Linked DNA regions of Canis lupus familiaris. The protein of the gene in region 2 purifies or fractionates together with the protein of the main gene of each other region. This does not show direct contact. Links are inferred from orthologs where the notes say so. Each region holds a gene or a part of one and is shown on either strand. Other genes may lie near its edges. The genes, in order: BAG6 and USP13.

Region 1 (3,812 bases), on a different chromosome or scaffold from region 2:
TTGCCTAAGTGTACTCACCTATAAAATGGATGTAATGACCATCTCCGGTATTGAAAGGCTTTTAAACAGGACAGTACGCAAAGCCCTGAGTATATTCCTGTTACAAACCAAGTGCTCGCTAAACAATTATTTATTAGGGCTCTTATGAATCAGTACTGGGAATCGAGTAGGAACGACAGGCCCCACAAAGGCCGTGGGCCCGGAAGGGAGGCAGGCAGGCCTACCCGAGGCCGAGGTTGGGGGCTCAGGCGGTGAGCACTGCCCAGTCCGCCGGGGGACCCCGGCCTGCGGAAGCCCTTCGGTGGCCCCTTCAGTGCTCCAGGGCCGGAATCCTGTGTTTCGGCCCAGTCCAACTCCACTCCCTTCCAATTCCCAAACTCGGAGGCGCCCTTCCTGAGGAGAGTCCTGTGAAGCAGTGAATCCGTAGTTGCTCCACAACATGGCGTGTCCACCGGCCGCACGCTGCCACCGAGGAACATGGCGCCCGCGTCCAGCCAAACGCCCACCACGCAGCGCCGAGGTCGGCCGCAACCACGCGGCGGCACGCCCCGGCTGCTCGCGAACCACCTCCAACGCCTAGAGAAAGGAGGACTTCCGGAGGCGCCGAAGACAGAATTTTAGGAGGCCAGCGCAGTGCCGCCTCAAATTCTCGGCCGGCCAAGACTTTAACAGAGATTCACGAGGCATAATCCCCAGTCGCCAAACCGCTAGAGGCACACAACTGTCCCAAGCCTCTTGAAACATAGTCTCTCACCTGGTAATTATTTTCAGGCATTTAAAGTAGCCACCTCAACCACCTACAGCTCAAGCGCGTACACAGACAAGAACAGCGTTAGCGGGGGGTTGGGCGGTGCCTAAAGGTGTACGCATGCGTAGTGCGACGCGCGCAGGCGCAGGACGGCCCCCCGGGCGACGGTGGCGGTGGCTCCTCGGGGTGTTCGGCTCCCTCCCATCCAGGCCGGCCCCGGCCCGTCTGGCCCCAAGGAACTCACTGTTTGGGGCCGCGAACTTCCTCATCGTTCCCAACAAAAGTAAAACTTCGGGACCTGGGGGGAGCCGGAAGTACCGCCTTGCGATCCCCAAATACTATCGGGGAAACGGAAGTGACCATCGGTGGCAAGTTGGGGGAGACCGGAAGTGACGGTACCGTGGGGAAGTCGGGGGCGGAGCCCGGGGTGGTGGTGTGGGTTGCGGTGGGGTTTGTGCGTGTGTGTGGTGTGTGTTGATTGCGCCGCTCTCCTGGAGCATCGAGGGAAGGCGGAAGAGGGGGGCAGTCAGCTAGCCAATCTGGCCCCCCGTGCGTGTCCGTCATTTCGGGTCTGTCGTGATTTAGGCGGGTTCGGTGGGCGTGGCGTGGCGCGCGTGCGCGAAACCACTGTCTCCGCAAAATCTGGCGCGACTCCCCCCTCCCCCCGCTCGCGTGTGCTCCCGGGGGTTTGCCGACCTTTGGGGCCTTTGTCGTATCGCGACTGGTGATGACACGAGTCTCCTGCTTCCTACTTTGCCGGCTTCCCAGCCTGACTGGCCCTCCCTTACTGTGATTGGCATTGCGGAGCCCCTCCCACCTGCCCGTCCTCCAGCTCCCTGTGCCGTCGATCTCCTGCCCTTTGTGTTTCTCTCCTGGTGCCTCGGAATCAGAAGGGGAATGGGGGCGGGTGTGAGTGTGTAGGCTCGTGCGGGAAAAACTCTTCAGATATTAGGGCGGAGACTCAAGCCGGTGAGGCTTCCGGGTATATAAAATCAGCTCTGGGCGACAGGAGGCTTCCCTCCCTCTATTCTTTAGAGATCTATCTGCGATGGAGCCCACTGATAGTACCAGTACCACTTCCAGTATGGAGGAGCCTGACAGCCTGGAGGTGCTGGTGAAGACCTTGGACTCTCAGACTCGGACATTTATTGTGGGGGCCCAGGTGAGACCCCAGTACTTTTGGAAGACACCCATTAACTCTTTCTGTTGTAGGTCTGTTATCCTGAGAGAACCGAATTTCTTTGGTCCTTAAATCTTACTTCATTGGTTCCTTTGTTCACGTTCTAGATAGGACGTTTTCTGGTGTTTGTTGTTGAGGGAGAAGGTATGGATTCTGTCGAATGAGGCAGATTTTGTTCTGCCTTTTCCCACCTTGAAAGAATTCAGTGCAGAGGAAAATACGGAGGGAGAAATACGTATGCCAGCATCATGAGTGAACCCCAGCCCAAGAGGACAGACATGGCTCCTGCCTTTGGGAAGGGAAACAGAACAGAGATCCAAAACTCAAGTCTTAAAAATTGGTCAGGTCTGTTTTATGTCCTTTTTTTTTTTTAATTTTTATTTATGTACGATAGTCACACAGAGAGAGAGAGAGAGAGGCAGAGACATAGGCAGAGGGAGAAGCAGGCTCCATGCACCGGGAGCCCAACGTGGGATTCGATCCCGGGTCTCCAGGATCGCACCCTGGGCCAAAGGCAGGCGCCAAACCGCTGCGCCACCCAGGGATCCCTGTTTTATGCCTTTAAAGGCTAGAAGTCAGAGCCTATAATGCAGGTAGAACTCTAACACACTGCTGAGCGGAATCACTAGTGTGTGTGGCATAATTTGAATCTTTTGTTTTTAGCGCCACAGACATGGCTGTTATGCCATTAATTCCTGTGATATTTTGAGACAAAATCATGAGGGGTTGTTCCGTAGCTTTTAAAACATATAGAAAAAATCATATAGGTCCTTGTGATTAGATGTATGTAAACTGGTGCTTCCCAAGAATCACTACTACAGTTAGGAAAGTGTTTGCTCTTTTCTTTCTGCTCTGTTGAACCTTCCTTTCTTGATTTTCTACTCCCGCTTCCTTATCATTGCATTTGTCTTTGAGATTGCAGAGTTGTAGCATTTTGTGTTTGGGGAGGGGTCATTGGTATCTGTAGACACATTCTTTTGGGAGCGGGGAGAGAAGGATATGTCACTCAGTATTTCTGTTTCTCAGCCACATATTTTTCTCTGGGCACATAATCTGAACTTTGTTAATGTTTATTGTCTTTTTTGACAGGTGTTAAAATGTCTTAGTTTGGGGCTTTGCATAATAATTACCTCACAGTCAAGACAAATGGGTAGCGGTTTTATGGTTGAGTGGTTTTTACCCCTCACTCCCAAAAGTCACTTGTTCCCCTTCCGTACTTCTCTCCTCCAATCGCTGCTAGTTTTTTGTCTCTTTTTCCTTGTAGATGAATGTAAAGGAGTTTAAAGAGCACATTGCTGCCTCTGTTAGTATTCCCTCTGAGAAACAACGGCTCATTTATCAGGGACGAGTTCTGCAGGATGATAAGAAGCTCCAGGAATACAGTAAGAGTTTGGGGGAGGCAGTTCAGAGGTTGTTGAGGCAGCTGTCTAGAGAGATGAATTGAGGCATTGGGCTTACCTGATTATATAATGCTTTGGTGTGTGTGTGTGTGTGTGTGTGTTTTTCCTGCAGATGTTGGGGGAAAGGTTATTCACCTGGTGGAACGGGCTCCTCCTCAGACTCCGCTCCCTTCTGGGGCATCTTCTGGGATAGGATCTGCCTCAGCCACCCATGGTGGAGGACCCCCGCCTGGTACTCGGGGGCCTGGGGCCTCTGTTCATGACCGGAATGCCAACAGCTATGTCATGGTTGGAACCTTTAACCTTCCTGTAAGCTTGTGTTCCACATAGTACAGTTTTTGTGGGGAGGGGTGGTTTGGTTGTGGTAATAGCAGAGAGCTCATAAGAAAGGTGTCTTGGTCTTTAGATTGGGTTTCCAGGGTCCTGCGGTCTGATACGGCCTCAGTCTTTGAGAAAAAGGGTGGGGCTCCAGAGAATGAGTTGG
Region 2 (3,812 bases):
CATGAATCATAATCCAATCTCACTACACATGAGCAAGCGTGCACAGACTCATACAATACCCTGCCACCTCTCCCCTCCTCATCCCCACTTCTCAAGGGCCCCTCCTCATGCCACTATCACCACACAAGCACAAACACACAAGTGCATACACATGCGCACTTACTTCACACCCGCAGATTTTGCTTGTAGGGCGCTACTCCAGAAGTCATCTACATTTTCTGGTTCAGAAAAGGCCTGAAGGCAGGCACTAAACGGTATCTTGGCACGAACCAACTCGGGAAGGGGTCTTCTGTTTGCTTCTGCTTCCCTTCTCGTCAATTCATAGGCAATCAGTTCATCTGAGTAAAAGAGCAAATTGTATTCACTTGTACTCACTCTAGCTTCTTGAAGTGAAAAATACTCCCTTTGGCCAATCTTCCTGAAGGTATCTGGGCCAGGGCAGGATTACTTATTTGTTGCCCTTTATGGATCCAGAAAAGCCTACTGAAGGGCTGTTCTTGAGCCATTTTTAAAGTGGCACTGACAGGCTGCATAAGCCATTCATATTTTTTTGCCTGTTCCCCTTTGAGACTGATGGGAGGGATCTGTGAACTCCAGCCCAGATCAGAGGTCCTCCTGACCTCACATGTGATATAAGTGATGCAGAAACCTGGTCCTTCATTTGTCCAGAGGTCAAGGCTGGGATTACCCAAATGCCACCTTCCAATCACAAAGTCTTCACATCACAGAATCTCACACTGAATGGAGACCCAAGGGTCATCTCATTCTGATTAGAGGTCATGGAGAGTGTGGACCAAGGAGCTAAACTGTAGGGACCACAGTCCTCCACTCCACTCAGCACATGATTCTAACCAGCACTGCCCTGACAATGAGGTGACCCACAAGGTCAGGTAGCAGAGCTACCAGCCTAGAAGGCCTTTCTACACTATTCCTACTCAAACAATTAAATACCAAGGGAAAAAGGAAACAGCACATCATCAACTTCCCAGGAGTCAGTAGATCTGCTCTTGGAAATTGCCTATAAGTCAAAATTTTACATAGTTTTGAGTGGGTCTTTCTGGGAATTCCTTTTGTTTACCCCCCAAAAAAATCACTCCTGATTATCAGTTTTTAGGCACCCTTATGCCCTTCTGTGTCTTCTTAAGCACATCTGAAAATGGGTTTAAAATTCATTGTCCAGGGCAGCCCGATTGGCTCAGCAGTTTAGCGCCACCTTCAGCCCAGGGCATGGTCCTGGAGACCCAAGATCAAGCCCCACGTTGGGCTCCCTGAATGGAGCCTGCTTTTCCCTCTGTCTGTGTCTCTGCCTCTGTCTCTCTCTCTCTCTCTCTCTCTCTCTCTCTCATGAATAAATAAAATATTTTTTTTAAAATTCATTGTCCAGTCCACAATCAGTTTATGATGTACTTAGATCTAGAATACCAGCATTAGGTGTTCCCAGCAATCAATTTCCAGAGACTAAATTATAAATATTTCTGAAAAAGAATAGTTGTCACTCACAAATTATAAACAGTGAGTTAGAGAGGATCACAGAACTGAGTGGAACCTCCTCAAGGCTGGGAAGAGAGAACAATTAAGCCTAATTCTAAACTGGAAACAAACTACAGACCCCTACCCTCATTTCTACCTTATAAAATGGGTAAGAATTTAGAAACTGATCAAAAGCTGCATGAGCTTATAGAAAATGGAAATCATTTCATCCCAAAAATGTCATAATCATCACTTTTCAATTAGCACAGCAAACTGACTCTCCCCCACAAAAAAAGAGGAAAGAAGGCCACCCAGTGAATTACTGACTTTTACAGAAATGACCAGTTCACAGGACACAAGAAATAGAGCAAACATTTTGCCTTTTTCTGCTTCATTTCTAAGAAATACCATTCTCCCATTCTCCCAGACAAACGGACTAAAGGAGTCTTTCCCAGAGACCCCAGCCTTACCGCAGCTCCTCTACATTCTTCCTGTTTCCAAAGTCCGAAGACCCTTCTAAGGGGCCTTTCCCTACAAGAGCCCTGCCCCACTGCATCTCCCACAGGAGGCGTCTTCAATTCTCAGATTACTTCAAGCAAGCTCTCCTAGATCGTCTCACCTCAAAAAATGCGATTCTGATCATTTCCCCCAGAATTTATGGCATAAATCGTTGAGCGCTAACATTAAAGAATTTTCCACATCTATAATTACAAATAATATTCCCCCAAACTAAGCTGACTCCAAATCAACCAGTTGGTCAAATTTATAGGCACTAAAATAGGTTCTATCCATAATCCCTCCAACAAAAACCCATGATGCCTCTGACTCTTCTCACATGGGGGCTGAGGTAAAGAGACGTGCCAACCAGACACCATCTGGGCTGGGTCTCCTCCTGACGTGACTTAGCAGTGACTAAACCACATTATCTCTGATTGCAGGGTTTGCACGGATGAGGAAGCACACGGCCAATTTCCCACTCTGGGACCATTACCCTTGTTGGTTGCTGCCTCCATGGCCACAGGTAACTGCATCAGGTAATCCACTCTCTCCGTGTAGCGGACTTTTCGAGTCTGACAGCACTGGATACGTTCTTCCACCAAAAACCGAAAAACATCACTTGGGTTTTCAGAGCCAATGCGGTTCCTCTGAAGGTTAGATTATATAAGGTTAGTAAAAGTATGAAATATTAAGCCGTGAATAAAAACCAGCATAGAAGAGAATATAAATCTGGTGTAAGGATTGGGCATTACTAAGCCTTCCCTGTGGGCATGGCGGTTCACCAGAGTCCTTTAATAACCAAACACTGCCATATATCCCAAAATGGGGGGACTGGTTAAACTATAGTTCATCATGTGAATGAACATTACACAGCTACTAACAGTCATCAAAGAGGAACTGACCTAGATGGAATCAGAAGAAAGGGGGTGGGAGAACCAACCTAAAGGACTGCCCTGGAAAAATGAAGGCGCATATGCTATGGTCATGTAAATGCATTAGTGTAAATTATATACAAATTTTAAAAAGAAATCACACTACATTCAAATATGTAATGATGTGGCAAAATGTTCACAACAGGATAAGTGGAAAACAATGCTTGGGACACCTGGGTGGCTCAGCGGTTTAGTGCCGCCTTCAGCCCAGGGCCTGATCCTGGAGACCCGGGATTGAGTCCTGCATCAGGCTCCCTGCATGGAGCCTGCTTCTCCCTCTGCCTGTGTCTCTCTGCCTCTCTCTGTTGTCTCTCATGAATAAATAAAATCTTAAAAAAAAAAAAAAGAAAAGAAAAGAAAACAATGCTTATAAAACAGCATGAAGAGAATAAATGCTCCCAGAAAGTGACTGGTGGGTCAGACACCAAAATGTCAGCACCGGTTGTCTGTAGGGGCTGTTACCACGAGTGATTCTCATTTTTTCCTTTGTGCCTTTTTATATTTTCCGCAAAGAACAGGTTTGTAATCAGAAAAAAAAAAAAAAAAAGTAGTTGTTTTTTTAAGGGGGTAGGGGTGAGAGCCTTTCATCATGAATTCTCAGGACTTTTAAAAACCACACACTGGGACGCAGGGGTGGCTCAGCAGTTTAGCGCCTTCCTTTAAAGCTCAGGGTGTGATCCTGGAGACCCGGATCGAATCCCACGTCGGGCTCCCTGCATGGAGCCTGCTTCTCCCTCTGCCTGTGTCTCTGCCTCTCTCTCTCTCTCTCTCTCTCTGTGTGTCTCTCATTAATAAATAAATAATATCTTAAAAAAAATAAATAAAATAAAAATAAAAACCACACACTTAATGTGATTTGACTCTGCTGTGAGCAAAGTGTGACCATCTCTGCGTGGTGGCACAAGGACACCA

What was found.
Region 1: the proteins of USP13 (region 2) and BAG6 purify together in Homo sapiens (affinity purification with western blotting; 3 studies listed by BioGRID and IntAct, with this or other methods). This does not show direct contact. The link is inferred for Canis lupus familiaris from reciprocal best matches to the Homo sapiens genes USP13 and BAG6.

What each region holds. Positions count from the first base shown.
Region 1 is NC_049233.1:1,273,845-1,277,656, reverse strand, and holds part of BAG6 (large proline-rich protein BAG6), read left to right. Parts: intron 1-18; exon of another isoform or gene 19-214; intron 215-224; coding exon of another isoform or gene 225-479; exon of another isoform or gene 480-1,317; intron 1,318-1,444; exon of another isoform or gene 1,445-1,588; intron 1,589-1,783; 5' UTR 1,784-1,796; coding exon 1,797-1,910; intron 1,911-3,192; coding exon 3,193-3,310; intron 3,311-3,440; coding exon 3,441-3,637; intron 3,638-3,812. Other genes in the region: APOM (apolipoprotein M), read right to left, coding at 225-479. UniProt on the Homo sapiens protein: ATP-independent molecular chaperone preventing the aggregation of misfolded and hydrophobic patches-containing proteins.
Region 2 is NC_049255.1:13,303,597-13,307,408, reverse strand, and holds part of USP13 (ubiquitin carboxyl-terminal hydrolase 13), read right to left. Parts: intron 2,616-3,812; coding exon 2,462-2,615; intron 339-2,461; coding exon 164-338; intron 1-163. UniProt on the Homo sapiens protein: Deubiquitinase that mediates deubiquitination of target proteins such as BECN1, MITF, SKP2 and USP10 and is involved in various processes such as autophagy, endoplasmic reticulum-associated degradation (ERAD), cell cycle progression or DNA damage response.